Diceros bicornis minor: one gene and its partners. The protein of the gene in region 2 purifies or fractionates together with the protein of the main gene of each other region. This does not show direct contact. Links are inferred from orthologs where the notes say so. Each region holds a gene or a part of one and is shown on either strand. Other genes may lie near its edges.

Region 1 (6,968 bases), on a different chromosome or scaffold from region 2:
TATAAGTGATGACAAAGCAAGGCAGGCCTTTCCCACCCAGCTCTCTGATTTCACCCTTTCTCTTGGGGGGAAAATGTTTGCTGCCCATTGTGCTCTGGAACATTGTCATGATGTTGAGCTCAGTCCCATACAAGGTGGTGACCTTCAGGGGAACTGGATCCTTTGGAGGAAGGAAGAAAGGCAGGCAGGCAGACAGGCACCAGCCCAACCCTCCCCTCCCCCCAGCAGCCCAACAGCCAGGCCCTTTGTGAGCTCAGCCCATCACGTGCTCGCGTCTGCCCGCCAATCCCGCCCTGTTGCTGGGCCTCTGTCACTTTTCCATTGGTGCCAGCTCTGAAGCAATTTCTTCTGGGGCGCCTGCAAAGGACGGATCTGTGGGCGGAAAGAACTGAAAATGGATCCAGTGACTCATCCGGCTTCTCGCACATTCTAGCACATTGCATTCTAGGTCAGAGGGCTTTAGGTTTTAGGAGCGTGACTTGATACCTGATTCCCGATTCCAAGTGGGACATTTAGACTTTGGGAGCCCTTCTCAGCAAGTAGAAAAGCAATTGTGACAACAACAACAAAATCCTCTGTAGAGCAGGGTTTCTCACCGGGGCATTGTTGACACTGGGGGCCGGGAAATTCTGTGTTGTGGGGGCCTGTCCGTCGTAGGATGTTGAGCAGCATCCCTGGCCTCTGTCGCTGGATGCTAGTAGCACCCCTACCCTCAGCCACCACAGTTGTGACAACCAAAAATGTCTCCAGACAATGCCAAATGTCCACCGAGGCAAAAATCACTCCTGGTTGAGAGCCACTGCTCCAGAGAAACAGCAGCCCCTCTCTTGGGAGGTCAGTGTCTCCTCCCGTCTCTCACTCTGTGCCCTTGGACAAATGTTTACTTCTATTTCCTTCAACAAAAACCTACTTATTGGACTTAGATTAGGGGATGCAAGGGTGTTTCAGAGAATGTTTTCTGCTAGAGAAAAAATCAGTGTTCTCAGCCTAAGAATGTTGTTTTCTCTTTGGAGATAACCTTCGGCCCACTCCCCACCCTCTGAGCCTCTCTCCTTCCTCCTCTCTTCCTCTTCCTCCTCTGCCTCAGAAATCAGGCCTATTTTTCTCTGTACCTTTTGGACTCTGAGACAAGCCACGTTGCAAAGCTCGTGACTCAGCCTTTAAACAACATGAATCACACGGCTTGCAGCAAAGCAACAGCCAAAAGCAAACAAGGTGTAGTTTGAAGTGAGTCCTGATCATCTGAGAAAGAACCTGTTTTTCTTCCTTTAGAAACTTCTTCCTGAAATTTAGGGAGACATAATCTTATTAAGAGCCTCAACTTTTTGTTCCTTTAAAATCTCTTTCCAGAAACTTAGAAAGAAATATCTTTCACAGAAATCTGTATTGGCAGTCACCAGGGTCTCCTGCTAACCTGAAAAATGAATTTTATTTTTATTATTCATTTTAATTCTCCAGTAATAAAATTCATTCTCTTAGAAAAATGTTAAAAATTAGAGGTTGAAGTCTATTTGCAACACTGCTCATGATACCAAGCAATGGGCTCGCTCTGCTCGCTAAGATCTGGGCCAATTAATCACAAGTTAGAGATCGAGAAACGAAGTTTAATTAGATTATCCGGTAAACTGGAAGACAGGTGACTAATGTCTCAAAGACCCATCTTCAAAGATTACAGAATCTTGAGGCAGTAAAATGGGCAGTAAGGTGGGGGGGTCCAGGGATGTTGGACTCCAAGCATGATGGGCTCCAGGCATCACATTGTTCCATTCTTCTGTCAGCTGTGATGGATACCTTGTAGGTGTGTCCCTGCCTGTGGTCAGCCTGTTCCTGGAGAGAAACTCATAGAGCAAAGTTTTTAATTTATCAAGTTATTGGGGAGTACATACCTGAGTGGAGGCCATAAATCAGGAGAGCATTTGAATTTTTTAGAGTACGTGCAGAACGAGTAGTCACACAGAGGAGGGGCTGGGGCCATTTTAGCGTAACCACATGGCCTCACTTACGCTCACTTACACTCCGACTTTTTTCATACATACATACATACATGGGTTACTGAAGAAAATAGTTTTATTTTCATTCACATTTTAAGTATAATGTTTAAACAATGTTCATAATTTTAAACAGGAATGTAATCTTTTCCTAATGGCAGAACATTTTTCGGTCAGTTGCCTCTTTTTCTATTTTTTTCTTCAAGGCGTTAAAGGTAGAAATTAAAATCTTTTTCCCCCCTCCCCATTTGTAGAAATAGGGAATAATTCTAGAAGAGTCCAGAAGGAACAGTGGCAGGAGAATTGACGGCATGAGGGAGACTGCAAACTTAAAAAAAACCTGTTTTAAAGTTTCACCATGCTCACCTATTTTAAAACATTTTAAAAATGCGCTGAAGAAATGACACATCGAGATCACAAAATAGCCTGTCGTAAAAATGAAAAAGATCTGGCTGGTGAGCCTTTTTCTCCTCTTATATCAAAATGGAATTTGTCTCTAGAATTAAATTTCATATTTGGGATATCGAAATGTTTTTTTCTCCCCGGAAATACATGGAGCTGAGATTCAATTAGTCTTTTTAAATCTCAGGCTTAAATAGCTTCAACTTCCGAGTCCAACGAAATGTCGACAGAGCTGAAATTCTGATACCCTCCTTGTTTATAATCAAGCACTAAGTTCTCAAACCCAAGGCCACGCAGATTAAACAGGAAAGCTAAAGAACAATCTAGAAAGATCTAGTTCTGTCAGCTTTCAGGTCCAGCTCAAGTAGTCTGACAAAGCTGTGTGGAATATCTGCCTTTCTTCTCCCAGTTCAAGGCAGACACGCCACAGTCATTTCTCCGTTGGAAACGCACGCTTTGCCCGTTTGTTTTGAGGCATTCTTGCTCCTCCTGCGCAGACGCCGGCGTCTGAGGCGGGAGCCAAGATCTGTCGAGTCATTCGCCTTGTCCCGGTGCCCGCCTGGGGGGGATGGGCCCGGCCGCCACCAGTGAGGGCTGGGGCCCGGGGGGCCCCGGGGAGCCCCCGCCACGGCCCGGAGTGAGGGGAGTTTGGTGAAGCAAAAACACGATTATTATCTCAAATGTGACCCGAAAGAAAGACCCCCGGTGTCGCGGGGGGGAGGGGCAGGGCGCGGTGCGCGAGAGGGCAGCAGGACCCCGCCTCTGCATGAGGCGCTCGGCCTGAGCCGTGGCCGTCAGGGGCGGGTCCCGTGGCCGGCGTGACCGTTGGGGCTGAGGGGAGGGGGCGTCGGGGCCGGGCTGCGGGGACAGCCCGCTCCGGGGGCCCGGGAGACTCCGCGCCGGGTTTTCGCGCCTCCCGGGGGCCGCTCCCCCGCCCCCTCCATCGAGCGCTGGCCACGTCCGCGGACGCAGCGCGCAAAGAACGCGGTGATCCCTCCGCCCGGCCTCTCAGGACAGCGCCCCCCCCCCCCCCGGCCCCCCGATTCAACCCCAAAGTCCCCGTATTAACAGGAGAACATTTCAGGGGGGCGATTAGGTGGTTCCGGGGAACTATTTTTCTCTCCAGGCAGCAGGAAGGGCTGAGAAAAGTAGTCCCTTCTCGGCCTTTCTGCGGAGGGATCCCCGGGGCGGGGCTACCGTTGCTATATAAATGAAGCCCCGGGCGTGGTGCAGGCAGATCGGTCTAGGTTAGGAGGTCGGTTCTTGCTGTCCTTCGTGCGCTGCCGGCACCGCGACTTGGTGAGTAGGGGCCGCCGTGGCGGCCCGGGGGTCTGGTGGCCCTGCGCCTGCGGGCCAGGGGCTAGCGGGGAGGCCGCGCTGCCCGCCGCGGGCACAGGGGCGGCTGAGGCTTTCAGGTTCCCGGGGCCCGCGAGCAGGGCAGCCGTGAGGGGGGGGGAGGAACGAGCAAGATGGCGGCTGTTTCCGATCCCTAGTCGGGGGAAGCGGGACTCGGAAGCGGGCCAGGAGGTTGGAGAGAGATGGGGGGTCGTGGGTGAAGGAAACCGCGAAGGCCGCGAGCGCGGGGGAGTTCGGCTACTTGTAGGGCCGAGTCGGGCGGCGTGTGGGGCGGCTGCGGTGAAGAGAGCGGTTCGCCGCCTGACTGGTGCGAGAACCTGGTCTCGTCGCAGCGGGGGGTCTTGGCGTCGTGGGTGCCGCTCCCGCCAGTCCTGCACCCACTGTGGGGGAGGGGCGCGCTCGCGGGAGCGGGCTCGTGACGTCAGCGCCGCTGTGGGCTCATAATGCGGGGTGGGGCCGCCTGCAGGGGTGGGGGGCAGCTTTGTGTGAGTCGCGGGACACGGGGTTTGGGCCTGAGGTGGACGCTGCCGGACTGACAGGGGACACGGGTCCGCTGAGGGGGGAGATAAGTGAGGCGTCCAAATCTACCGGGCCAGGTGTCCGTGCTTTTCTCTGGTAAGTTCCTGAAATGGGTTCCGGCTCATTTGTCAAGCGTTTCATTGCGTGAGGTTGTTCAGGAGAGGCGTTTGTTTTTTGGCTGGCACAGTGACCTTTGACTCCTGCTCCTGAGGAACGCGTTGACCCGTGAATTGCCTGTTAAACTCTTGGATTTTTTCTTTATTGTTTTGTTCTGACAGACAATGCAGATTTTCGTGAAGACCCTGACGGGCAAGACCATCACCCTCGAGGTGGAGCCCAGCGACACCATTGAGAACGTCAAGGCCAAGATCCAGGACAAGGAGGGCATCCCCCCTGACCAGCAGAGGTTGATCTTCGCCGGGAAACAGCTGGAAGATGGACGCACCCTCTCTGACTACAACATCCAGAAAGAATCTACTCTGCACCTGGTTCTCCGTCTCAGAGGTGGGATGCAGATCTTCGTGAAGACCCTGACCGGTAAGACCATCACCCTCGAGGTGGAGCCCAGTGACACCATTGAGAACGTCAAGGCCAAGATCCAGGACAAGGAGGGCATCCCCCCTGATCAGCAGAGGTTGATCTTCGCCGGGAAACAGCTGGAAGATGGACGCACCCTGTCTGACTACAACATCCAGAAGGAGTCCACTCTGCACCTGGTGCTCCGTCTCAGAGGTGGGATGCAGATCTTCGTGAAGACCCTGACCGGTAAGACCATCACCCTCGAGGTGGAGCCCAGTGACACCATTGAGAACGTCAAGGCCAAGATCCAGGACAAGGAGGGCATCCCCCCTGACCAGCAGAGGTTGATCTTCGCCGGGAAACAGCTGGAAGATGGACGCACCCTGTCTGACTACAACATCCAGAAGGAGTCCACTCTGCACCTGGTGCTCCGTCTCAGAGGTGGGATGCAGATTTTCGTGAAGACCCTGACCGGTAAGACCATCACCCTCGAGGTGGAGCCCAGCGACACCATTGAGAACGTCAAGGCCAAGATCCAGGACAAGGAGGGCATCCCCCCTGACCAGCAGAGGTTGATCTTTGCCGGGAAACAGCTGGAAGATGGACGCACCCTCTCTGACTACAACATCCAGAAGGAGTCCACTCTGCACCTGGTTCTCCGTCTCAGAGGTGGGATGCAGATCTTCGTGAAGACCCTGACAGGCAAGACCATCACCCTCGAGGTGGAGCCCAGTGACACCATTGAGAACGTCAAGGCCAAGATCCAGGATAAGGAGGGCATCCCCCCTGACCAGCAGAGGTTGATCTTCGCCGGGAAACAGCTGGAAGATGGACGCACCCTGTCTGACTACAACATCCAGAAGGAGTCCACTCTGCACCTGGTGCTCCGTCTCAGAGGTGGGATGCAGATCTTCGTGAAGACCCTGACCGGTAAGACCATCACCCTCGAGGTGGAGCCCAGTGACACCATTGAGAACGTCAAGGCCAAGATCCAGGACAAGGAGGGCATCCCCCCTGACCAGCAGAGGTTGATCTTCGCCGGGAAACAGCTGGAAGATGGACGCACCCTGTCTGACTACAACATCCAGAAGGAGTCCACTCTGCACCTGGTGCTCCGTCTCAGAGGTGGGATGCAGATTTTCGTGAAGACCCTGACCGGTAAGACCATCACCCTCGAGGTGGAGCCCAGTGACACCATTGAGAACGTCAAGGCCAAGATCCAGGACAAGGAGGGCATCCCCCCTGACCAGCAGAGGTTGATCTTCGCCGGGAAACAGCTGGAAGATGGACGCACCCTGTCTGACTACAACATCCAGAAGGAGTCCACTCTGCACCTGGTGCTCCGTCTCAGAGGTGGGATGCAGATTTTCGTGAAGACCCTGACCGGTAAGACCATCACCCTCGAGGTGGAGCCCAGTGACACCATTGAGAACGTCAAGGCCAAGATCCAGGACAAGGAGGGCATCCCCCCTGACCAGCAGAGGTTGATCTTCGCCGGGAAACAGCTGGAAGATGGACGCACCCTCTCTGATTACAACATCCAGAAAGAATCTACTCTGCACTTGGTCCTGCGCTTGAGGGGGGGTGTCTAAGTTCCCCCTTTTAAGCTTCTGACAAATTTCATTGCACTTTCCTTTCAATAAAGTTGTTGCATACCCAAATAGTGTGATTTTTTTTTTTTTTTTCCTGAGTTAGGTTCTTTTTAGTTAGGGTGGGGTGTGAGGAGTTAAGGTTTTCGGTCTACCCAATCCTATGGCAACCAGGAGGTAAGAAATACCACTAAAAGATGATGTTAACGTAGAACTGTAGTGGGCGAGAAATTAGAGATTGCTTTTATAACTTTCCACATGTACACTTATATGTAGACACTTGCAGACTACTGACTTAAAAAATACTGAGTTTGGGCATGGTTGTGAGGTACCTGAGAGTGGGAAAGTTTCTGGAATACTAGCAGGAAGGAGATGATAAAAGGTGTTTGTGGTGGAAGAGAATGTATAAGAATCAGTTTTAATACATAGCTCTATTTAAATCCACATTGAGCTGCGTAGAAAGTCATCATTTGACCAGACTTCCTAAAGGATGTGGCAGGTAATGTGTATTAAATGAAAAGTACTTGTCAGGCATTACACTAGAATGTTTAGGAATTAGTGGCTGTTTAGAGACTCAAAGCTGTTGATTCAAATG
Region 2 (7,759 bases):
CTGGATTAGGCAAAGATTTCTCAAATAGACACTAAAAGCAGAATCCATAAAAGACCAAACTGATACACAGACTTCATCAGAATTTAAAACTTCTGCTCTCTGAAAGACAGAGTTAAGAGAATCAAAAGATAAGCTGTGGACTGGGAGAAAAATGCAAGACCAATATCTGGTATAGGACTTGTACCCAGAACACATAATAAACTCAAACACTCCTTAATAAGAAACTAACCCCATAAAGTGTGTGCGCTCCACTGCTGGCGGCCCGGGGTTCGCAGGTTCAGAGCTCGGGTGCGCACTGATGCACCACCTGTCAGGCCATGCTGTGGCAGTGTCCCACATAAAGTGGAGGACTATGGGCACGGATGTTAGCCCAGGGCCAGTCTTCCTCAGGAAAAAGAGGAGGATTGGCAGATGTTAGCTCAGGGCTGATCTTTCTCGCGGGAAAAAAAAAAAAAAAAAACTAACCCCATAAAAAAATGAGCAAAACATTTGAACACACACTTCATTAAAGAAGGTATATAGAATGGCAATGGGCACATGAAAAGATGCTGAATATTATTAGAGAAATGCAAATTAAAACCACAACAGAATTCCACTAGACACCTACTAGAACAGCTAAAATTAAAAAGACTGACAATAGCAAACGTTGGCAAGGACGTGGAACAACTAGAACTCTCATACACTGCTGGTAGAGATGCAAAATGGTGTAGCCATTTGAAAAACAGTTAGGAAACATCTTATGAAGTTAAATATACACTTTCCTTGTGACTCTGAAAACCCACTTCTAGATATTTATCCATGAGGAATGAGAATATATGTCCACACAAAAACTTACTTGTTAATGTTCACAGCAGCTTCATCCATAATAACCTCAAACCGGAAACCCAAATGCACATTAACTGGTAAAAAGATAACCAATTTGGTGACCCATACTGCCCACACCAGCAACAAAGAACAAATTACTGTCACACGGCGCATGAATCTCACAAGCACTATCTTAAGTGAAAGAAGCCAGATACAAAAGATTGCAAAGTGTACTGTTCCACTCAGATGAGATTCTAGAAATGGTGAAATATACTGACAGAAAGCAAATCAGGGACTGCCAAGGATTGGGAGTCAGGGCAGAAGAGTGAATTCCAAGAGGCCTCGGGGAACTTTTTGGGGCGATGAAAATATTCTCTACCTTGATTATGGTGGTAGTTATACAATTGTATACATTTGTTAAAACTTATTGAAGTATATGTTATATGTAAGTTATACCTTAATAAAGTTGATCAAAAAACATAATAAACTCACATAAATTTAAAACAAAGAAGGGAGGTATATCCATTAAACTGTCAATAGAAGTCTTCTTTGGGTAGTGGGAGTATAGGTGATTTTAATTTTCTTCTTTGTACTTGTTTGTAGTTTCCATAATTTTTAAAATGTAATCACTTATGTAAATAGAAAAAAAAATTTAAGCTCAAGTCTCAATTTGTGATATTACATTATTACCTAAAATACAGATAATATTAGCAAACGTTATTCTTTAAAAATAAAATATGAGAAACACCAGACTGCTGGTAAATGTAATATCCAAATAGTAAAATATACTTTTGAGCATTTTTTTCTCATGTTAGAAATGGAACTTCATTACTTTAGGTTAAATGTAACAAAGTCTGTATGTTTTAATTGCAACAATTAATCACAAAACACAACGAAGAGGGGGGAAAAATCTACATTAACAAGTGAAACCGTAACAAGTTTCATATATAACATAATGGAATTATAATAATAATTTGCTGCATACTTGGAAAATGTTAAGAGTCATGTAGCCCGAAAATAAAATAGAAATCCCACAACCCCCACAAAACGAAAACACTGGCTGACTCTGGGGACCTGCTGTCACAGGCCCTCCTGTCCTGCTGGAGGCACATGCTTGGATTTCCATTGGTTCCTTCGCTACTGACGCTGAAACAATCCCGAGAACCAGAGCCGGGGTGTGTATCACACCTCCCTGCAGCTAGATAACCGTGTTACTCAGCCAGCCACAAAACCACCCGGTACGGGAGAGAAAGGACGCCGGCTCCTCCGTCCTGAGGTCCTCCTCGCCAGGACAACCCCGCACTGACAGGTCAGCGGGTTGCGAGCGGCCGGCCCCGCCGCTGCGGGCTCACCTGATAGAGCTCCTCCAGGTTGTACCTGATAGACGTGCTACTCTGGATGGCCTTCACCGCCTCGTGCAGCTTCTGCCAGGTGTCCTGAGTGTAGTTGTCCGGCAACTTCGGTCTGTCTGTAAACGCAGAGAGATCAGCGGGGTCGGGTCCGCGCCAGCAGCCAGCATCTTCCAGACACTCCGCAGAAAAGCCCTCACGGGACACCAGGGCCGGGAGCAGAATCGGGCTTCCCAACACAAGGCACCGCGTTTACACAGTTCCCGGGTGCAGACCAGGCGCCCGCACGCCGCTCCACGCGCCCGGCCACGCACGACCCCGGGTCCCGGGTCACCGCCGTCCCGCCGCAGGGCCGACGCCCCGGGAGGGGACAGCAGGGAGGGGGGATCACCGGAGAGGCCCGCGGGGAGGGCACCGCGGGAGGGGACTGCGAGGAGGGGACCGCGGGAGGGCACCACGGGAGGGGACGCCCCCGCCCGCCCCGCCCCGCACCCACCTCGGAAGTTCTTGATGACCAGCTTCCTGGAGCCGCCGCCGGGCTTGGCGGAGACGGCGGCCGCGGCCAGCGACGCGGGCTTGGTGAGGCCGTTGGTGTGGCCGACCAGCGCCGAGAAGCTGCCCTTCCGCGGGGGCTCGTCCGCCATGGCCGCCGCGCTCCCTCGGCCGCCGGCGCCAACCGCCGCCCCGGCCCGGCCCGAGGAGGCCCGAGGCCCGCGAGCGCGGCCCGTCCGCGTCGGCCACGGGCAGCGCGGAACCCGCACAGTCGAGGGGCGCGGGGCAAGCCCTGTCAGCTCCGGGGGCCCGGGCGCCCAGGGGCGCGGACGAGGCGTCCTCGCTGAGGGGAGGCGCGGAGTCGCGGCCGGACGCCGGCCTGCCTCAACCCGGGCGCGCCGCCATGCCGGCCCGGCGCTCGCGCTCCCGCGGACGCTCTCCCTCCGGAACCGACGTGCGCGGAAGGCGGGGCTGGCGGGGCCGGCGGCGCGGGGCCCGGGACGGACCGCCGGCCGGAAGTGACGCATGGCCGGGCGCGCAGGCGCCGTCTGGGTCGGGCGGCGGGCGCTGCCATGGCGCACATCACCATCAACCAGTACCTGCAGCAGGTAATGCTCGCCCGGCAGGTCGCGCGGGGCGACTCTTCCTCCCCTTGGCCTGCGGGGCCCCGGGCCGGGGTGGGCACTGCGGGCCTGGGCAGCCTGTTCCGCGCCTGCCCTGGCCGCCGGACGGGAGGCCGGGACGACGAAGCGGCAAGCTCACTGGGTGTCCTGGGGCCCCCGGGTACACCCACGGTCGCGGCCCTCAGCCTGGGGACGTGGAGAGGGGTCCGAGCGGATCCCCAAGGGCCTGTTGGTCACGCTCAGGAGCAGGGGCGCGGCCGTTGCGTGGCCGTTGAAGGCCTGACCCAAGGGCCGGACTTCGAGTTTTGTTTCGGATGAACGCTGGTGGACATAGGAGATGGAGATGGCAGGTGGTCCCGCCGCGAGCCGCTGGCCACAGCTGCCGTTTAGTACACCCGCTGTGTTAGCACCTGGTATACTATGGTATCCTGGGGAAATGTCTCTCGCAGGGGTTTTGTCCATGCAGCCTGTAAACGGCAGAAGCATAGTTCAAACATAGGTATTTATGGATTCAAAGCTTGCATTCTTCCCGCTAGACTATGGTAATTCGCAGAACTAGGACCGTGGTCATAAGGATAAAGGAGTGGATTTTAAAAATATCTGAAGGAAACATTACCAGGACTTGGTGATTAAGAACTTGTGGTTGAGGGACCTCGGGAGGAGTGAAGAATGATTTCCAGGTGTCTAGCTTGGACGACAGGTGAGCAGAACAGATTCGGAGGGAAAAGTCAGTTTACTTTTGGACATGTGGAGTTGGAGGTGTCTATTGACAACCAGGTAAAGATATCTAGTTGGCAGGTGAATGTTAGTCTAACATGATTGAGACCATTAGTTGCTAGTTAATTGAGAAAGTTGTTTAAAACGGGAATCATGAAAAAAAACAGATACATGCTTTTATTTTAATTTAAAACATACAGATATACATTCACTTGCCAGTCTTTTGATTGAAGCCTTGTCTTTAAGGATAGGTCTACCTTGGCCTTATCTTTGCAGAGTTAACATTTCCCATATCAGTTTAAAGTTGAACAAGAACATAGACATCTGAAAACCAATTTGAATATAGAATCTCTCTAGAATTTTGTTTTCTCTTAATCGTTTACAATTTTCTTGCCCACACCTAATTCCTTTTTTTTTTTTGGACATTCTGTGTGCCTTGAATGGTGTCTGACCCATGTGGATGCTCAATACAATTTGTTGACTGGATAAATGGAGGCAGATAGGAGGCGTTGAGGCTCGCTTATAGGGCTGGATGGTAAAGTGGAGTGATTCGCCTGTTCTCAGACCTCCTCCCTCAGTCTAGTGAGTAGTAAGGTTCAGACCCAGGCTGGTCTGTCTGACTCTAGGTTTCATATTCTTCTGTTTCACCAAACTGCGTCTTGGTCCTATTCCCTGCATTCCCAGAGGAGCACTCAGAGAATCTCCTTTCTTGTCTGTCTTATGTGGTGAAGCAGTTGGGGTATGATGAGAAGCACAGTAATGATTAGCGCATGTTGAACGCTTAATAAGGACCAGGCGCTGTTGTACGTAGTCATCATCGCTGTTTTTCTCGGAGGTGGGTCCATTGCAAGCCCCATTTTGCATAGGAAAGCAGTGGCTTTCCAAAGTCATTGGCAAGTGTGTTGCACATTGAGACCGGGAGTTCCGGCCTCAGAGTCCATGCCCTTAACACAAAGCTCACTGCCTCTCTTAGCCTAAGTTTTGGCCAACATTTCCTGTCCTAGCTAGAACCTGCCTATTTCTGTTTCCGAATTAAATATTTTTTTGAATCTCATTGACCTTGTCAGCTTTGATACATCTCCATTCCTTATTTCACAGCTTCACCATGCCCACAGCCAGCAGCTGCCTGAAATGCTGTGTCTTTCATTCCCCATGTGCTCTGTGATAACATCCTATTATCTGTTGGGTCTGGAGTTTCATTCTACTCTCCTCATAGCTTAGGAGTTCTCCTGGTAGGTTCTTGGGTACTGGCAGAACGCACGCGATTCCTGGGTCAGAGACCAAGGACTTTAGTACTCAGCATAGCAGGCAGCACGGCAGCAGCATGATGGTATTGCGATGGCCCAGAAGGGCCCCTACACGTGCATCTGAGAGAGAAACATGGAACTTGGGGAACCCACCCATTCTATAGCAGGCTGAAAGCAAGTCTGCTTTCTGTCCAGGGTTGGGGATGGGGGGAGACATTACTTCATTTCTCAAGGTGACCAGCTGCATAAACAGCCCTGAGTAACGGCTCAAGTGAAAGAGCCAGCGGTCAATCCTTGGCAGGGGCAGAGGCCGGAGGAGGCCCTGTTGTCTCTCCCAACACCCAGCTGTAGCTAGCATGTCCCCTCATCTATTTAGTGCTCACAGTGTCAGCAGGCATTCAATTTAGTTTCTGTTTGGAAGGGACAGGTTGAATTCATTTACCTTATATTTTCCCCAGAGGTGGCTCTCTTCATCATTTCTAGTATCTTTTTTTTAGTGTCCTTTATTTCATTCTTTTGTCCATTCCACACACTCTTATTTTACATGGAAAATTACTTTTGTGTGTGTGTGTGTGTGAGGAAGATCAACCCTGAGCTAACATCCATGCTAATCCTCCTCTTTTTGCTGAGAAAGACCGGCTCTGAGCTGACGTCTATTGCCAATCCTCCTTTTTTTTTCTTCCCCCAAAGCCCCAGTAGATAGTTGTATGTCATGGTTGCACATCCTTCTGGTTGCTGTATGTGGGACACGGCCTCAGCATGGCCGGAGAAGCGGTGCGTCGGTGCCCGCCCGGGATCTGAACCTGGGCTGCCAGCAGCGGAGCGCGTGCACTTAACCGCTAAGCCACGGGGCCGGCCCCATTATTATTCTTTTTGAAGCTCAAATTGTCCCAGATTTGGCCACTGGGAGCCCCTTCAAACTGGTTTCTGTGGCTTTTTGACCTGTCTCCATCCTTTGGTCTCTGCCTTGCTTTCTGGTGCAATAATATATTCATTCCAGGCTCACTTAGTTCTTTCCCTGTCCCAGCACTAGATCAGACTTTTCCCCAAGAAGCTCTGGTCCCTTTTAGTGGAGGGTGAATTTAGAAAACAGATATGAGTGCTGGGTGTGCTTATTGCTATCAAGGTATCATTACTTCTAGGCCTTTTCAGTGGACGGAGCTAGTAAATGTATTTTTAAGGAATTAGGAGTTCTAAGAGCAGATGATTCCCCAGTGGATCAGCTTGGAGCCTGGAGGACAGGAGTTGACCAGCAGCAGCCAAGAAAGAGAACTTCCTGAGAGTACCCAGAGCCAGAGAGTTTCACCTGATGACCTCTGCAGTCCCGAGGCCAGGCCCACAGGGGTGCTGTGGACAGTCTCGCCTGGAGTGCGGCCGCATGGTCCAGTGCAAGGTGCTTAAATTAAAACACCAGGGCCAGCCCAGTGGCGTAGTGGTTAAGTTCACATGCTCCGCATTGGCAGCCCTTGGTTCGCCGGTTTGGATCCCTGGCGTGGACCTACACACTGCTTATCAAGCCACGCTGTGGTGGTGTCCCACATACAAAATAGAGGAAGATTGGCATAGGTGTTAGCTCAGAGACAATCTTCCTCACCAAAAAATAAAAAAAATAATAAAAGACCAGAAGTTCTGGGGTGTGACGTATCAACAGTGACTAAAGCCGTGACTGGGTTGCCCATGATGCTAGTGTCCACTGAGGTGCACATCCGTCTTGGAGATTTGATGCGAGTGTGTCACCATCCCTCTGTTTTCCCTCACACCCCGTGACGAGAACTTTGCAGGTTTTCTTAGCTTCCTTGAGGCAGGGGCACCAATGGGACCAATATTTTGTGATTACTCGTAATACATGAAATGACCTTTTGTTTCTTGTAAGGTAGATCCCTAGGAGTGGGATTGCTGGCTCAGAACTTAAGTGCATGTGCAGTTTTGTTGAATAGTCAAGTGGCAAATTCTTTATGATACAAATTATCTTGGAAAAGGTGTGGTAAACTTCCCCAGTCGATGCCCTGAGTGGTAAGCAGAGGAGGTGTCCTTGTGGCTTAGGCCTCCATTTCTTCTGGCCGTGGATGCCTGGGCTTTGGGTTACTGGGCCGGGGAGTAGGTGTGTGCTCCCTTTAGTAGGCGTACCTGATACTTTCCCAGAGTGGACGCACCACTTCACCCTTCCCCCAGCAGTGTGTGAGAGTTCCAGTTGCTTTATATTCTTGGCAGCACTTGGTATGGTCAGCCTTGTCCGTTTTGACTGTTCTCGTGGATGTGTAGAGGGATGCCGTTGCATTTCGCTGGTGGGTAGTGACGTGCGCACCTTCTCGTACGCCATTCCGTGTCCTTTTTATGACGTCCCTGGTCGGAGCCTTGTGTGGCATGAAATTCACAGATCTAATTTTATTGTAGGTGAATTGTACCATATGTGCAGCTTCATGCTTGGCTTTCTCTTCACTTATATAATTAGAATTTTTATGTCATTTTTGGTAAATATAATTTAAAAATATCATTTGGTTTTCTGATTACAAAGTGTCTGCTGTAA
Region 3 (7,049 bases), on a different chromosome or scaffold from region 2:
TTGATCCCACTCACATCCCACAGGATGTGAGCAGCAAGTGGGCAGCAGCAGGTCTGCATGATTCCTGTGCACCTGTGGCCATATGAAACTGTAAAGTCTGAAAACTCAGGTATGCCAAAATGATAGCTCACTTATTTTCTTAATTACTCTGTATAGTACCTATTTCCATTTGATAGCAGAAATATAATCTGGTCACTTCCTGGCAAATTCAGTCAAGTAAGTGTATGATCACTCAGTCATTTCAGTCAAGTTGAGGGTTCTGTCCCTCTTCTGATATCCAGGGTCACAGCTACATTCTGCAGAGCTTATGTGCTCATGGCATGGAGTGGGAGGGGAAGGGGCTGGAAGCTGTCTGGTCGTTGGTCATCATCCATCTTCCTCTACTGCTCAGGGAGGCAGGCAGACCTCACCCCTACCAGTTGTGCACTGTCATCCTTGGTTTCTGCTGTCCCAAGAGATGTCTGCATTTGTGCCATGGTCTCTGGTTTGGACTGTCCAGGTTTATCTGCTTTAGTGCTCCCCTTATTACATCCCAGAAGCCCCTTCCTGGTCATCTGCCTCCTCTTTGAGCAACATCCATTCTGTTTTAGGGCCTCAGGACATATTTTGATGATCCTTGGGATCCTCACACATTAGGCACAAGCCTGAGATGCTCCCAGACCCACCTGCCTAGGCATACTCAGCTGCCATTTCTACTTGACTGCTGCCATAACTTCTCATCACGGAACACTTTAGACCTTACAGACTAAGATAGATTCTCTTCACTCTTAGAGACCCCAAATCTTTCTGGGGGTCCTAATCATTCCATATCCCTGGATTGAGGGGATAGGGGGAATGAGTGGGAGACAGTCCCTTTTCAGAGACCCACCCCAGTAGCTAACTACAATGCTCTCTTCTCTGCCTCGATTTCATCCCCACTCCCAGCCTTTTGGAAAACTGACTCTGGCATCATCATACCTCCTCTTCCCAACCCTGCTGTTGCTAGTATAAAATTTAAGATTTGAGTCCTTCAGCATCTTGGGCTTTCAGTGCTCCAAAAAACCTTCTTGTCTGAAAAGCTTTGGGTTTCAAGAGTCCATTTTGCAAATCAAGATCTAAGAATTTGACTTGTTTTTCTTTGCATTCAGCACCTTCTCCTCTGGAGTAATATGGTGGTCTGACTTTAGGTGGAAGGCTTAGAGTTTGGCAAAAAGGAAGAAGGAGGGGCTAAGCAGAGGAAGGTGAGGCTCAGAGAGGTGAAATAACTTGCCCAAGATCACGTAATAGAGTCGCTGTGCTTACCTCTACCAGCGGAGCAAGAGAGCAGTGGAGTGCAGCCAGGGGATCTCTGACCATGGGGACGGGATTACTTCGTAGCTTACATGCTGTCCTATGGGTTGGAACACACATTCAGAGTCCAGAGTCTGTCCCATGGGTGGGTGCCTCAGAAAGGGAGTGTGAACTGAATTTTAGATGCACTGAGAGGGCTGGTCCTCATAGGAATCGTCCCATGAACCCTTTACAGCATTGAAACTCTGTTTACAAAGGGAGATCACCTCTGGAAATGAATTCACCATAAAAAACAGATTTTGCCACCTGGACTGCTTCAATCCAAGGCCTTTAGCTTCCCTGGAGGTAGTATGCTGGTATCAGTTGTAAATCAGAAAATATTCCTGGCATTTGAGGGTTAAAATTCAATATCTGGGCTGTGGTGGCAGAAGCATAGCTGGGATTGGAGCCTCAGCCCTCCTCTGCAGTGGCTGTGTGACACTGGGAAAGTCCTTGCTCTTTGGTTGCATTTCCTTCCTCTCTAGAACAAGGAGTTTGATAACATGGTGTGTGGAGTGATTGGAGTAAGTATGAGACCTCAGCCTTCTCATGGCCAGCTCTGGAACCAGAAGCACCCCCCCCACACACACACACACCTCCACACACCAACGGGAGTCTGTGGGGGCCAGTCCTTTCTGACCTGGGCTAGTGATTATGAATAAATGACTGGGGGTGAGTGATCCCCAGCCTGCATCCTACAGTCCCACAACTGCCTTGTTCCTCCTGAGTGGAGGGTTTGAAAGAGGATACGGTTGATTCAGAAAGTGTAGAGCTAAACTAGTCACCTTTGACAGACACTGCTGGTCCCTTCTTAGCAAGGCTTCATCACTGAGTCCCTACTACAGAGGTTTCTCAACTTACCTTGGGCTTGAGAATCGCTTGGAGAACTTGTTTAAAAGACAGAAAAACCTGCCCCCAGGGAGTCTGATTCATTAGCTCAAGAGTGGACCCTGGAATCTGCATTTTTCTTGACCTGATGCCAATTTATTTTTGAAGTAAAAACTTTTTGAATATGTAATACATTCATATGGACCGAAATCCAAAAGGTAGAAAAGGGTATAAAGTGAAAAATCACCCAAACCCCTGTTCCCCAGTCACCTGGTTCCCCTCCCCTGAGGCAAACAATTTCTTGTGTATCTTTCCTGAGAAAACTATGCATATAATAGCGTATATGAGTAAATGAAACCTGCATTTTAAAAACAAGCCTCTCTTGATGATTCCAATATTGCGGGTCCCCAGACATATTTGGAAAAACATACACCTCCTTTACAGGCCCTGGGCTGGGTCCTCGGGCTAGATGTGTGACCTGGCACTGCCCAGTCCTGTTTAGGATGCTCAACAAGAGTTTACCAGGTGCTACCTTGTATGCCATGGGCAGCGGAGCAAAGGGGCTCCAGTGGGCCTTGCCTAGGAGACCTGAAGCTCAAGCTGCTGAGGGCAAGGCTGTGTTGTAGAGAAAAATTATGAGAGCTGTAGGTCCTTTCATCTTCCTGTCATCAGCTGTGGCACCGGGCAGACACTGGATACCACAGCTTGTAGACAAAGACCTGGTAACCCAAGGAGCTGCTGGGCCTCCCTGCCCAGTCTCATCCCAGAAGAGCTGTAGGCCTCTGATTCCTTTCCGGGCCCTGTGTGGAAGCGTCTTTTGTCTCCCTGGCGTCAGGAATACCATCACGTGCTTGTTGGTTAGGTGAGCCGGGCGCCTCAGTCTCCTAGGGAGGGGTGGCAGCGTTCCCGGCCAGAGCAGGGGAGAGCGGGCGAAGTCCCTGACTGGCTGGCTGGGGGTGGGAGTTTTCAGACTAGCCCTTTCCCTCCCTAGCGTTGGATTCCTCCAGTGGCCCCTATCCCAGCCTTCAGAGAGCATCCCATACAAGAGTTCTGGCCAGGCTGGACCCTGGCTGCCTGGGTCACTGCCAAATCCCCGCACTGTGACACACACACGCGCGCGCGCGCGCGCGCTCAATACACGTTTGCTGAAGCAGTGGATATTCACTGCCAGAGAGAGGCCTCCTCTCAAGACTTGGGGTTTCCCTGGAACAATGGTTATTTGTGGCCTGGAGGCCTCTTCAGAAATAAATGGTAGGAAATGAGGGTTAAGAGCACCAAACTATGGAGCAAGGTTCAAATCCTGGCTCTGCCACTCAACCGTTGTGAACCTGTTCCCTCACATACAAAGGAGAAAAAGGCAAACAATATTTCACCTCATGGGTTATGGTGGAGGATGAGCTAACTCTTCTTGGGTTCAGAGGACACTGAGGCCCTGAGCGGAATCTCAAAGCAGTGACTGCAAAGCGCAGCTGCCTTCCTTCTTTGAGCCCCAGTTTTCCCGTCATGAAAGACGAGCCGCACCCTGACCTCATCCACGCCCCCCTCTCCGCTCCACACACACTGACACTTTCTAGGCTTTTCACGTCTGGGGTCTTTAGTTCGGCTTAGGACAGACCCTGCCTGAAGGGCCCCTGCAAACCGCGGAGAAGCCCAACCAGTCCCTCGTTCCCGCTTTGAGGAGGGCGAGCAGCGCTTTCGAGGGTGGGGTAAGAATGAAGCCCCGCCCCCGCCCCGCCGCGCCCGCCCGCCACCGCCTCTCCGCCCGGCCCGGCCCCTCCGTCCTCCGCCTGCCGTCAGGCGATCTCCGCGGCCAGCCCCGCCGGCTCTGTGACGCCGCGGGCCCCGGGGTCCTCGGCGCCTGCGCCCGCCATATAAAGGCCGACGCCGCGCCGCGTCGCTGTAGTGGCCTTGTTGTCTGCTTTTCTCCTGTGTGTGCTGACGCCGCTGTGCCCCCGTCAGCCTCCCGCCCGCCGTCTCCTTGAGACCCAACACCGTAAGTAGCCTCTGACCGAGCTGGAAGGGGCGGTGGCGCCGCGGATGGCAGGTTGGGTGCCCGCACCGAGGCGGGAGGCACCGGGGCCTGGCCTTCCCTCAGGCCCGGTGGAACCCGTTGCAGACCCCGTTCTGCGGGAGGTGCCGGCGGGCCCCTTCTCCCGCCCCGCCCCTCGACGAGGACTGTTCTGGTCGCGCGACCTCGCGACGCCCGGTGGGCGCCCGGGCGGGCAGGAGGCAGGAGGTGCGAGCCGAGCCCGGGATTGGGCCTTTTCTGCGCACAGCGAGCGTTCGCTGGCGCGGAGCTCGGCCGCAAGGCCCAGGCTGCGGCCTGGGGCCTCCCTTTGCGTTGAGACTGCGGGCCCCGGTGACCCAGGGCGGAGGTGGCGTCGGGGCTTTTAGTGGAGGGCCCTTGTCTGTCGTGAGCGTGGGCGTGTGTCCGTGTTGTTGTTTTGGTGTCGGAGGGAGCGTGGCGACGGTAGTCCGGAGCTAGGGAATCTCGGCTCCCATCCTTTCCCCTGGGTCAGGCGTCACTAGTTGCCGATGCTGGCTATCTGTGCTGGGGCTGAATCTTTGCAGATAGCCCCCTGCTCCTTCTGAATATTTCTCTCCGTTATTTTGCCACAGCCTGGAGTTGCTGAAACAACTATTGTAACAGCAGATACTGTCGTCATAGTGATGTGGCTTTTAGGAGCCCCAACTCTGTAAAACTTAACTCGAGGCGTCTGGGTCTCCAAGGGATAGGACGTTTGCCTGATTTAGTTCACTTTTTAGTGGAGACTTAAGGTTTGGGTTTTGGGGTCATGCAGTTTTCACCAGAGCTTCACAATATAAAGTATCTGTGTCGTAGAGCAATGCAGACTTCTCCACTCTGCCCTCTAAAAACAAGTGTCAGAATTTCAGGGCACTTGAAACACAGGTTTTTTTTCTTTATGATGTTGATAGAACCCACTTCCTGCCAGCCATGGAGGGTGATTTAATTTCCAATTTCAGGAGCCTAAGGAATTGGAGAAATGGTCTTGAAAGCATGTCAAATCAAAATTTTATCCATTGTGATCTGAAATTTTTGCACTGAATTCCAGCTGTGTAACACTGAAAAAAGTTCTCTTTGAGTTTTAAGTCTAGGATTACAAAGTGCATTGAATTACAGATTAACCGATTGCCTCCTTGCTATTTAATAGGATCTCAACTCCCTTAAGAGTAACCTAATAAACAAATTTGACTATGACTAAGCAGATCTTGCTATTTATCGAGAGTTATTTGAAAGAAGTATGAAATGGTCGTCTTGCTTAAAAGTAATTTTATCAACTGCTTTACCAGACTCATGTTTCTGTAATGTTCGTTCTGGTGCTTTGGAATATAAAAAGAACATAGAATGTTTTCTAAGTAAAAATTGGGCTCTAGTGGGGATGCCTTTTGTTGTTGCCTTGTCACAGGGAAGGTCCTCTGCTCTGGGCCCTTCATTGAGCAGGACAACTGCATTATTGGCAAGCACTAAGCAACATGGAGAAGCAGACATATTTGTGAACTGAAAAGTGAAATGCGATTCTCTCCAACCATGGTGTAGTGAGAACAGGATATATCAATGGCTGGTTTGAAAATATAGTTTTACCTTTTTGCTTCCTTTCCCTAACAGCTTGTCTGTTTGGGGGATGGAAACAATTGTCTGGGAAAAGCTGAATGAATATTTTAACTGATTTAATGGGTCTTAGGCCTTTGAACCTAAAATGGGTGCAATGACTGTTTTAAATGCCGAATTCTACACTTTGAAGTTAATAGGGACATCACAGGATTATGAATACCTGAAAAGCATGGAGCTTCAAAAGCAATACTTAAAATTTGAAGAGGTCTTGAATTAATCTTTACAATCACATATTGCTGCCCTTTCCTCTCCTGCTGAAGACTCTAAAGATGGTAAAAAAAAAAAATTGCTGGCTTAGAATTCTTAATTTTAAAGAGGTTTTATTGTTTTTTCCCCGGAACTTAAATTCTTTGAAGTTAATTGCTTAATTAACTTTTATGTAAGAGATGTCTTTTTCCTGGTGACTCATAATTAATCCGAGTTAATAAATACATTTTTGGAGCAAGTAATAGGTTATTATTATGAGGATTTCGGCAGAAGATCTCAAACTGGAACACCTGGACAGTCAGAAATGAAGTATAAGAAGGGTGGTGAAGTTTAAGTTCCTTATTTGGTTTAGGGAATTAGATTGACATCTGCTTATTCTTAAATCTTTTACTGTCTTATATATGGTCTTGCATTGATCCAAACATAAATAAGTATATCCTGATCTACTTTTGGGATCTGAATGCATTTTTCACTGTTAGGTCTCACAATGGGAAAAGTACTCCCTTATTTGATTGCTTTGTTTATTTTGGACTGACCTTCCTCAGGTTTGCAGGTGGTTAATTGTGATAGTTAACTATTCAAATGAGAGTAGTCAGTATTCAGTGAGAGCAGAAAGGCAGACAGAAAGTAAGTCCATTTGAGATCTATTTTGCATCAAAAGTATAGAATGTAACCCTTAAATTTATACCAGTATTGAGTTCAGTAGGGCAGGCCTTAAAAGCTTCTGTTCCTAGGAGTTAGTCTTTGAAAAAATTTTATAGAAACACTTGTATGCTGGCCTGTGAATTACCACTTACAGTGTTTTACAGAGGTATCTACTACAGTTCCTTAGGATTTTATAGTTAATAAGTTAGAGGGCTTCTAACAGACTGTAGTTGATGAAATGTAGAGAACTAATATCTCTTAAATTTCAAATTCAATATAGTACTTTTTTTTTAGATGCCTTCAATTAAGTTGCAGAGCTCTGATGGAGAGATATTTGAAGTTGATGTGGAAATTGCCAAACAATCTGTGACTATCAAGACCATGTTAGAAGGTAAGTTTATTAGAAAACCTGGGTCAGGGGAAAGAG

What was found. The genes of interacting proteins can lie anywhere in the genome.
Region 1: the proteins of CUL4A (region 2) and UBC purify together in Homo sapiens (affinity purification with mass spectrometry, with the first as the bait; 3 studies listed by BioGRID). This does not show direct contact. The link is inferred for Diceros bicornis minor from reciprocal best matches to the Homo sapiens genes CUL4A and UBC.
Region 3: the proteins of CUL4A (region 2) and SKP1 purify together in Homo sapiens (affinity purification with mass spectrometry; 3 studies listed by BioGRID and IntAct, with this or other methods). This does not show direct contact. The link is inferred for Diceros bicornis minor from reciprocal best matches to the Homo sapiens genes CUL4A and SKP1.

The regions. Positions count from the first base shown.
Region 1 is NC_080774.1:5,852,536-5,859,503, forward strand, and holds UBC (polyubiquitin-C), read left to right. Parts: upstream 1-4,521; 5' UTR 4,522-4,546; coding exon 4,547-6,376; 3' UTR 6,377-6,445; downstream 6,446-6,968.
Region 2 is NC_080748.1:86,944,570-86,952,328, reverse strand, and holds the start of CUL4A (cullin-4A), read right to left. Parts: upstream 3,024-7,759; 5' UTR 2,798-3,023; coding exon 2,650-2,797; intron 2,273-2,649; coding exon 2,157-2,272; intron 1-2,156. Other genes in the region: PCID2 (PCI domain-containing protein 2), read left to right, coding at 3,218-3,253. UniProt on the Homo sapiens protein: Core component of multiple cullin-RING-based E3 ubiquitin-protein ligase complexes which mediate the ubiquitination of target proteins. As a scaffold protein may contribute to catalysis through positioning of the substrate and the ubiquitin-conjugating enzyme.
Region 3 is NC_080740.1:53,332,558-53,339,606, reverse strand, and holds the start of SKP1 (S-phase kinase-associated protein 1), read left to right. Parts: upstream 1-4,026; 5' UTR 4,027-4,129; intron 4,130-6,916; coding exon 6,917-7,013; intron 7,014-7,049. UniProt on the Homo sapiens protein: Essential component of the SCF (SKP1-CUL1-F-box protein) ubiquitin ligase complex, which mediates the ubiquitination of proteins involved in cell cycle progression, signal transduction and transcription.